3 linked regions of the Xenopus tropicalis genome follow. The protein of the gene in region 1 binds, or shares a complex with, the protein of each later gene. Links are inferred from orthologs where the notes say so. Each region holds a gene or a part of one and is shown on either strand. Other genes may lie near its edges.

The links.
Region 2: gatb (region 1) and gatc share a complex: the UniProt entries of both Homo sapiens proteins name them as parts of the heterotrimeric GatCAB amidotransferase (AdT) complex. The link is inferred for Xenopus tropicalis from reciprocal best matches to the Homo sapiens genes GATB and GATC.
Region 3: gatb (region 1) and qrsl1 share a complex: the UniProt entries of both Homo sapiens proteins name them as parts of the heterotrimeric GatCAB amidotransferase (AdT) complex. The link is inferred for Xenopus tropicalis from reciprocal best matches to the Homo sapiens genes GATB and QRSL1.

The regions. Positions count from the first base shown.
Region 1 is NC_030677.2:55,986,536-55,990,910, reverse strand, and holds the start of gatb (glutamyl-tRNA(Gln) amidotransferase subunit B, mitochondrial), read right to left. Parts: upstream 2,819-4,375; 5' UTR 2,674-2,818; coding exon 2,624-2,673; intron 1-2,623. UniProt on the Homo sapiens protein: Allows the formation of correctly charged Gln-tRNA(Gln) through the transamidation of misacylated Glu-tRNA(Gln) in the mitochondria. The reaction takes place in the presence of glutamine and ATP through an activated gamma-phospho-Glu-tRNA(Gln).
Region 2 is NC_030677.2:151,737,944-151,741,368, reverse strand, and holds gatc (glutamyl-tRNA(Gln) amidotransferase subunit C, mitochondrial), read right to left. Parts: upstream 2,000-3,425; 5' UTR 1,969-1,999; coding exon 1,897-1,968; intron 1,716-1,896; coding exon 1,668-1,715; intron 1,477-1,667; coding exon 1,307-1,476; intron 1,025-1,306; coding exon 921-1,024; intron 837-920; coding exon 775-836; 3' UTR 654-774; downstream 1-653. Other genes in the region: srsf9 (serine/arginine-rich splicing factor 9), read left to right, coding at 1-36, 119-256; triap1 (TP53-regulated inhibitor of apoptosis 1), read left to right, coding at 2,222-2,368, 2,446-2,535. UniProt on the Homo sapiens protein: Allows the formation of correctly charged Gln-tRNA(Gln) through the transamidation of misacylated Glu-tRNA(Gln) in the mitochondria. The reaction takes place in the presence of glutamine and ATP through an activated gamma-phospho-Glu-tRNA(Gln).
Region 3 is NC_030681.2:79,110,649-79,113,064, forward strand, and holds the end of qrsl1 (glutamyl-tRNA(Gln) amidotransferase subunit A, mitochondrial), read right to left. Parts: intron 1,733-2,416; coding exon 1,527-1,732; intron 889-1,526; coding exon 677-888; 3' UTR 651-676; downstream 1-650. UniProt on the Homo sapiens protein: Allows the formation of correctly charged Gln-tRNA(Gln) through the transamidation of misacylated Glu-tRNA(Gln) in the mitochondria. The reaction takes place in the presence of glutamine and ATP through an activated gamma-phospho-Glu-tRNA(Gln).

The sequences.
Region 1 (4,375 bases):
AGTGACAATATAAAAAATCGGGGTCCATCCCCATTCAAAAATGGGCATTAATCAAAATACTGGACTACTGGAAAAGTGGCAAATTACCCTAAAACATAAATTGTGCCACCCCTTCTAAATAGTATGCCAGACACATTAAATCTTTTTTTAAAATATGCGTATACAAAAACTCTAAACTAGCAAACAAAAGTCAGGACAGGTGTGAGTTGGGAGTGTTATAATTGAAAGTTTCCAAACACAGGAAACCCCTTACAAGAACCTACGTCTTAGAACTACTGGTAATTATCAGAAATCCTCATCCACCGATTCCCCCTCATAGCGGACAGTAATTGCGTATACTGCAAGCCGACTTATGCAGATGTATGGTGATTCTAATAACAGCAACAACCCCAGAGGGGATTCCCTCTCAGATGTCAACAATCGTTATTACAGCTAGTTCTCGATGCCTGCGGAACTGAAAGCTAAAACAGTGTGCTGAGTGGTTGGAAAGTTTCTTCTTTATCATAAGTTCAATTAAATGGGCTTTTAGTGAACATATATTTTGCTTTGTTAGGCACCACCCATTGATCATATTTCTAACCTTACACCAGACTAGAATACCATACTACTGAGCGTTAAGCCTCCATTTTGTCTTGTCCAGGTCAGCTCTATGGACAGTATAGGGCTTATTTATTATTTTTTCAAGTTTGTGAATTTGAGTTTGTTTTTCTAAATCGAATAAATAAGGAAATTTTTTATATTCAAGTTTTCAGGTTTTTTTGCACTTCATAAATTCCCCCCTATGAATGCACATTAGGGTAAATGTTCATATTTTATTTTCTAAGTTCTGATTTTACTCTACTGTTCATGTGACCCAGCCTATAAAGCTGCAAAGTATCCCTGGGACAAGGGCTAGCAGCACTTTGTAGAATAGTACCCTAGGCCAGTTCATTTTTCTGCAAAGGATTTGCAATCTGAAATTAGCAATTATAATCAAAAGAGGTATCCCCTAGTGATTAACTCTTTCTTTGTCTGTAAAAGGAAGAATTCGGAGTAAATATAAAACTGGGTAAAAGATAGTCTGAGAAAAATAAATGTTTTAATATAGTTAGCAAAAAAATGTATAAAAGCTGGAGTGAACGGATGTCTACTGTAATAGCCAGAACATAACATCCTCCTTTGCATCACTCTGACCTGTCAGCATCATGAAGGGGGGCCATATGGAACATAACTCTTCAGTTAGTTTGCTTTTGACCCCAACCTGCATAGTCACAAACTAAATGAAAAGTTATGTCCCATGTCGCCTTCTAGTTGCTGACTGACTAACAGGTACTTTCATTTCCCATCTTCCTGCTTTTATCAATTGTGGCAGAAGAAGTTAGTTAAATGGGTGGTTCACCTTCAGGTTAACTTTTAGTGTATTGTAGAATGGCCAATACCAGGCAACTTTTCGCTGTTTTTTATTTATAGCTTTTAATTATTTGCCTTCTTCTCATAACTCTATCCAGCTTTCAAATGGGGGTCCCTGGCACATTTGAAATTTTATTCTGATTGTTCCTTTTTATTACTAATCTTTCTATGTAGATCATCCTCTATTCATATTCACATCTTTCTTTCAAACCACTATCTGGTTGCTAGGTTAAATTGGTCCCTAGCAAACAGATAGCTGCTGAAAAAGATGCAATACTAAAAAATGAAGACCAATTGCAAACTGTCTCAGAACAGCACTCTCCACATTATACTAAAAGTTAATTTAAATGTGAACTACCCCTTTAATGAAACTACCAGTACAAGATAGAGCGTTCGCACACACACATACACAAAGTGGAAGGGGAGACTTGTTTATACAAGCTCTTTGTCTTTATATATACCAACTCAGTTGATCACAGGAAAATGGAGATGGTAATGAGGGTAAAAAAACTAGAATTCTTAGTTGCTTTATAAACAATAAAAAAAATAATTTGAGCACAAGAACTGCTAATTTCTCATGTTGAAAACATGGCAAATGCTGCCCCACTCATTTATGTATATATTGTTATATCTAATGAAAACTGATAAACAAGCCAGCTTTCCTTTATTTCTCACAGAGTAGTAGCCGTCTAGGGCTGGGATTATTTATTTATTTATAATAAAACATGTTTTCGTCTATATCAGCGCAAAGCAAGGGAAACAACTCTTTGCAGCTTTGAAATGTGTAATTTAGTAAAAACAAAAAAAGAGCACATTTAGCAAGATAAAACTGTCCAGTACTATTTAAGAAGAATACAAAACAACATTTTAATGGGCAATTAAGCGGACACTTATATTTGCAAAGCAAGTTGAGACTAATACATGCACGACTTAATAAGAAGCAGGTCACAATAAAAGCAGAAGAGTGTGTGTGTGTGTGTGTGGGGGGGGGGGGGGGGGGGGGGGGGGGGTGTGTGGGGGGGGGTGGGGGGGTGTGGGGGGGGGGTGGGGGGGTGTGGGGGGGGTGTGGGTGGGTGTGTGGGGGTGTGTGGGGGTGTGTGGGGGTGGGTGGGAGGAGGGTTTGGGGGGTATAGTGGTCCAGGAGTGACATGACAAATACGCTTCAGGAGGATTGCCTTATTCCCCAAATTTAGAGCCCACTAGAAGGCGTCTAAAGAAGCGAATACACACGTACCGCATAGCGCCCAACAGCCCCGCTTTCTGCGGGAGATTGCCGATTTTCATTACACAGCCCACAATCCCAACTCGCTGTTTAAAAGTCCCGCAATGTCATTTGTCCAGCTCCAGACTTTCAGGGCACCTCAGAGTCTCGTCACAGTCTCGCGAGACTGTCACAGTTACGCCACGACTAGCGAGCGTAGTGACGCTACACGCACTGTGGGAGGAGCCAAGATTGCGCTTGGTTTCAGTACAGTAGTATAGACTGGTAACAGCGTGTGGACGGGGTGGTTGCATTGGAACATGTATAATCGTAAATTAAAAAAAAGGTATAAATATTTTCGCCACGGCCTCTGATCCCATGATGTCTTAAAGAATACATTTGTTTTTTGGGATTATGGCTCCGAATTCTGCAAGGGAAAAGATAAACACATTTTTCCTTTATTTTTTTCTGCTCCAAGCTTCTACTTGTCTTATGATGGAGTGAAGAGAGGGTTTTATTTCCTGATGGTTGGCATTGAATACAATGAATTTGTTTTACTGCTCTCACTAGCGTTCTTACTAGTTACTCTCCTCTAGTGGAGCCTCTGTTCTCAATATTTAAAGGGGAAGGAAAGGTACAATCACAGGTGGTGCCAAAATCTTAGTACCAAGATGCTACCCATTAATGTCGCTTGCGTCTCATTTCTGCCTCCAGTGCCTCCTCGCCCTCCCACCAGCTCTGCTGTCATCAAAGGGTCCCATTTTTTTCACGAATTATCAAAACGAGCATTAATTTACAAAAGGCAGGAGTTGCGGTCCAGTGTATTATATATAATGTTAGGAACGCCCCAGTGAAGGTTATTGATTACCTGAAGCCCCCCATCGATGCTCCTGTTAGGAGAAAACTGCACCAGTCGGGGTGTATGTGAGCTAGCGATCCTTCTTCCTGCTTTTGTGTATGCCCTGGGATTCAGAAGAAAGAAGACAGGACAGAACGTTCACTCACATATACCCCAGGCTGATCCAGTTTTCTTCTAACAGGAGCACCGGCCAGGGGTATCAGAATTAGCCTTTGCTTCTCCTTTAATCAAAGACCCCAGTTTTTTCTAAACAAATTGATGTACTTCACTTGGTTCTTCCACAGTGCAGTTCTTAGTAATCTTAAAGTCTGGCTTTGGAGTCAATCTGGTCCATAATCCTAAAATAAAAGAGTGAAGCTGTAACCTGAAAATAAGAAAAAATATAATGGAAAGCCACTTAAGGTCAACAGGGTGTGGTACATTTGTGTAGGCTTCAATAAAACAAAAATAAATGTTATACGCAATGCTATAAACCAAAAGTATTAGACCGTATTCCATGTTCAACAATGCTCTTTTGGGGCCCCAGAACTTTCTTCAGCGTAGCAGATAGGAAACCTGCACACAAATGCGCTACAGACAAGGAGGAGGCTAAACTGTTATCTGGAACTGGCCGAGGTCAGGACATGCAGCAAGAATTGAAGTCAGAACCTGGCAGGAGTCAAAAAACGAATGACAACAACCACGGGCTTGAGCAGGATCTTAGAACCAGAAGGCAGCTTGTGCAAGGGGCAAAGGGTGAAAGTGAGATTTTAAAGGGCAGAGAACCAATCAGAAGGTCTACAATGTGTGTGACAGAACTGAAAACCAACAAAACCTTAGAAACAATGCGCACACACAAATGCTCATGGTGTAATCACATCCAGCATGATGTCATGATGCATGCTCTAGTGAACGTGGAAGTGTTCATGCGTACCAGAGGCAGATCT
Region 2 (3,425 bases), about 96 Mb from region 1:
CGGAAGCTAGATGATACAAAATTCCGCTCCCACGAGGTAGCATTATTTTTATATTTACATAGGGTACATTCTGGGCTGTTACTTTCTTTTCCAACTTTTTTTTTTTTCTCCCCCAAAGGGTGAAACTTCTTATATCCGTGTGTGCCCAGAGAGAAATACCAGCTACTCCCGTTCCAGATCCCGTTCAAGAGGGCGTGATTCCCCTTATCAAAGCCGCCGCTCGCCTCGTTATGCTTCTCCCTTTCGACCGTACTAAGTTGCCACCATAGGGACACTTTCTATGAATTGAATTCTGAATCCCATCTACTCAGAACAACATTCCACGACTGATGGATTTCATCAACTTTTATACCATTTTTTTTTTTTTTTTTAAAGAAATGTTTTCTTGACATAAGGTGTGTGGTGTTTTTTTCTTTTAAGTTCTATCTTCAAGAAGGCAAAAGATAGTATTGTGCCTCCTAGGAAGAAGGGATGGCCTGATCTGAAATTGTGTTAAATGCGCTGTGCATAATTGCTATACTGGAACTAACAAGTAGAATGCTAATGGAACCAATGCAACCTTAAGGGAAAGTACATGTGTCCTACATATAGTTAAATGCCATCAGTATGTTAGAAAGGTATAGTTTGGAATAACTTTTTAATCCTCTTCACAATCAAGTTTGTACGTATGTTCCTTTTATTATGAAAGTGTTTCAGTTTAAATAAAAATAAGCATCTGTAGCTGTCCTAATAAACAGTAAGCTGTTATGCTGTTTCTATTCCGGTCCTTGATGTTCAGGAGCTGCTCTTGACTTCAGACAGACCTCTTTCATGCTGAGCTGGTAAAGGGATGTTACCTTTTATTAAGAGGAGAAAAGAGAATGAGGACATCTAATGGATCTATATTAATGTTTGTGGATATAAATATAAACCTTTAATACCTGGAGGTGCTACAAAATATTCCTCTACAACAGTTCTGGCATTTTCTAGGAGCAGTTCGGTACAATTTCCTGCAGCAACTGCATCATTTCTTATGTATAGGGTCCTGCAAAACACATTACAAACACTTGAAACTGCCTCTTCACAAAAAAGTATATATAAATCTAGCAGTAGTATCAAGCCTGTGCTGCTGCTCTATCATGGTAGCTAAATGATAACATATTAATTTATGCAGTATCTCTTAGTGATAAGTGTCAAGTAACTGGACTTGCTGAATAATCTTAAAACAGTTTACTACTAGGTAGTGAAATGTTCAAGATTACTTTGCAAGTCCAGTTGTTTTAGACTTATCATTGGGAGATATGGTTGAAGATATAGATTACATTACCTGTCTTCTAACACAGATGATAAAGGTTCCACTCCCTCTGTGTTGACATTGTGCAGCTGATCAGCAAACTGTATGGCCTTCTCAAGCCGCTGCACGCCTTCTACGTTTCCGAAATCCACTAATGCTAGCCGCTCAAGATGGTCAATTGTGTCTAGGCTAATCAGGGGTTTCTGAAAATTGGTAAAATGTATTATGTACGTGATATATAGTCTGTCTTTAGAGGTAGTTTTACATTTATATACTTTTCTTGATTAACATGACCTGGGAATAGAGCACACATGAACAGTAGGGGGCGCATAGAGAAACCGTAATACATAATTAAGTTATGCACTAAATTATAATCATGCATATGAGTGCGCACCTGGTTTCTGATCTCGGGTTGAAGGTCCCATGTTGGTTTAGGCGGTACCTATAAATTGAAAATAGCGACATCTTAATCCCCAACAGCGGTTTCTACTAGTTTGTAGTCCAGCAATAGCTGGAAGCCCGTGAGCTGGTATATCTACATAAGAATCCCGACTTCAGCGTCGTACAAGGATATTCGTTAGACTAAACCTTGACGCGCAGTGTCATTATAAGCTAAATGATACCTTACTCTGCGCCGACAACGAACGTCGGAAACCAGAAATCCAAGCGGTGCAGAGCGGCGCTCGGAACCACATTTTGCGCGGCTCTTTAATATGACGTCATATTAGAACCACCACCGTGCGTTTCTCCAGTAACCTTGATGAAGAGGTGATGGCGGCCATTTATAAAAAAAAAAAAAGGTTTCAGCCAATAGACGTGCTTGTGTTGTAAGATGACAGTCGCGACTCTGCCCTAGGACAAGATGGCTGCCGCGGCATCTCGCTCTCCGTAGAAAGATTTGCGAGGTGAAGAAATACCTGTGTTCGTCAGGAGTTTGTTGCGGGCAGCATGAACAGCGTGGGTGAGGAATGCACGGATATGAAGCGGGAGTATGACCAGTGCTTCAACCGCTGGTTTGCGGAGAAATTTTTAAAGGGAGAATGTAGTGGCGATCCGTGCACCGAGCTCTTCAGGCGGTATAGAGATTGTGTTCAGGTGGGTAATGCACTCTGTATAGTGATAATAACATGGGCATTTTATAGCAGCGCACTAATACCCTTTCCTTTATTCAGAAAGCCATTAAGGACAAGGACATCCCGGTGGACGGAGTGGACTTTATGGGGCCTAGTAAATCAAAAACAGAATCCGACGGCTCCTCCTGACCCAACGCGGGCCCCGGAAGAGAGTGGGCCCATAACGTCATATCCCCTGCACGCCTAGAAATGAAAAATACTTTTATAATAAATAACAAAGTAACAATCAGTTTGTACGGCGAGTATTTGCTGTCTTCATACATATATATTTGTGTGTTTAGGGGGTTAAGGTTAAGCACATGGTGTCTTCAGGGGATTAATTAGTAAAAATTGATCTTCACATTTCCGGCCAGGGGGAAGCTTGGTGTGTAAAGGGGTTTTATTGCTAAATCTCGAGGTGCAGCGCTGAACTAGAAATACAGACTGCAGCAAAACAGTGTACAGTGGGGTGTCCAACCAGAAGATATCCCTTATGTGCCCCCCCTTAGCAAAACAAATCAACCTCGGATTCTACTCTTTCACTGTATTTTTAACTCATTTTTGCTATTCCTGTTGCTGTTTTCAGCCTCATTGCAATTTTATTCTATATCATATGGTTGGCCTTTGTAGGTCATAGATTAACATGTATATTTGTGCTGAGAGCAATAAGAGTATGAGTATTCTTCATATACTTAAGGAGTCCATGGAGTATGTTTGTAAACCTACCATAGTGGAATTACTTGTATAGATTTGCTGGACCAAGTTTTTTGATACTCGTATATAACACTATATAGACTGGCATTTATCAGAAAATATTCAGATCCCTACTTAATCCTATGATATCTATATGAGAACTACATCAGAGACTGTTGCTTTTCTTCAATAAACATTACTAGCACACAGTAGTGAATACAGTGGGGCTAGTTTAGTGACACCAGTGCAGTTACACGTAGCAATTAGTTAATCTCTTTTATTTGTATTTTGAAGTAAATTGACTAATTAAAATGAACTGGTTTCTATGGGTTACCTCACTGGTCCAA
Region 3 (2,416 bases), on another chromosome or scaffold:
CTTTCTGGCTTTGAAACCTTCAATGTATGATTTTGGAAACCTCCCAAAGGACTCAATGGCACTTAACAGATTCAACCTGGCTAAAAGAGTCACGATACCAATGCTTGAATGAATTCCGAAATCGTCTTAGTCATTACGAAAAGTACAACTTTTTTGTGGAAGTTAATGAAAACCACAAAAAAGTAGTGGAATTTTAACTAAATTATTGTGGACTTTACGAAATGTTTGATAAGGTAGAAAAAATACGATTTTAGCTCAGAAATACTTAATCGAGGTTTAGTGAATAGGCCCCATATACTGTACTTTTCTTTCAGACTATGCTTTTATACTTGTGCTTATAAAAGCAGAAAATTTGTATTTCAAAAACACTATAGGCCAAGTGTAATCCACAATGCTTGCTACATAGCAAGTGCTATATATGAATGCAGTATTCAGTTAACTGCTGCTAAAACAAAGCAACTACTCAAACTGCATTTAACTGAAATGTGTTGTCCCAGTGTTTTAGCCCAGCAAGCAGCACCCTTCATTCTACCTAGAATACTGATTACAGCATTGTTTGCTATTTTCACATAATATACCTTCATCATTGTACCTTGTGTCATGCCACAGCTGAAATGTAACCATGCAAAGTTTTTCTGAATTAGATCATCTTTGATTAAAGAGTTTCTTTATTTTCCTATACAGAGGAAGCAGATTTACTGTATTGCTGAACTATGTTCCCATTTTCCGAGTCTCTGTTAAACTGTAAGGGAGAGAAGTCAATTTGTTTTTCAAACCATTTAGCGATTGTGAGGAGCTGCTGCTCGCAGAAAGCACGGCCAATGAACTGAAGGCCAAGTGGCAATCCCCTACTAGAAAGGGCCGCAGGGACAGTTACGGCTGGGAGGCCTGCAGAAAAAAAAAACATAAAAAAATGTATAATATAAAAAATGTTTTAAATGCATACTTTAGTAGCTGAGGCACCAAAACTACATCTATAGTAATGATAATATACTCAGTGAAAGGGTAATATTAAAGGCTATACTATAATAAATGTGGATGTGGATTCTATAAAGAGATACCTATGATGGCAGTTTTATGTTATCATTTTGGTTAGCTATGGGCAAACATAGCTGGTTCTTCCTGCTGCAGTTATGACTGCAAAGTCCGAATTTACCATTTCAATCTGTTACAATCTGAAAGCCTAAGCAATACAATCTTTATCCACTTTCCCATTATTCCTGTTTCTTTTCAAAGCAAAGATTTGTGAATGCACATTACACCTAATGGTCACTGGTTTTTCAAAAATTTGTTATCATTTTAAAACAAAATAACGTATCCTTTTGAAAATAGTAGGTTTAATTGGCAGGGCTTTTGGGGAAAGTTATAAATATGTATTAATTACGCTACACTGAATGGAATGGACAAAAAGGGCCTTTCTTTATAACAGTTTGGTGTTACTAGTCCGTTAATGTTACCGAGAATTTAAATCATAGGTCATTTCATTTTCATTTCGTTTTAGGCCCTTAGACATGTAATGCTCTTACCAGCCATGTTGGCACACTGTGTGAAGACATCTTCTTGAGCACTGCGAGTTCTATTGTCTTCCTGGATAAACTCTAAATAGGGAGCTGCATCTCCTAGTGTGGTCGGAGTTAGCAAAACATGGACTCCGGAGTTAAACACCTTAACAAAATCATCTGCTATCAGGCGCCGAACTTTCTGAGCCTTCACAAAATATTTTTCATAGTTCCTACAATCAGACATCAAGCAATCAACTTTTACCAAAGAATTAAGAAAGTTTGTAAAAATTACTGTATATTTAACAAATTTAGGTAAGTTCTATGGTTAACAGATACCACTCACCAAGGTGATATTTTAAGTATATTTAATGTGTGGAAATAATATTATAGAAAAATACATATAAATTATAAAATATTTAGCCAGTCAGATAGACATTTAGACAGCCTAACAAAACCATAAAACATTATATTAGTGTATTAATCTGATTTATAAAAAATGTACTAAGTGGATGAATGTGTATGTCTGTGTGTAAGGAGAAAAGGAATATATACATTGACGTGTCAGTCAATATTGTATGACAGAATTGCATAAATGACCACAGCTATTAAATAATTCAACCTAATGTATAACCAGTTTTCAAAACCTTATATTTTAAACATAGTTCTCTATTCAGTTTAATATACTACGCATTGTTTGTTTTGCTTTTGAATTACTTGCCTTCCTCTTCTGCTTCTTCCCAGCTTTCCGATTGGGATCACTGCCACTAGCAGGCAAAAAATACTACTGCTCTATTTTATTGTTACGTATTTATCCATTCAGGCCCTCTCCTATTCATCTGGACCCTAGCAACAAGACTGCTGATATTCAAAACACAAAAAAACCCACAACAATAAATTATGAATACCAATTGCAT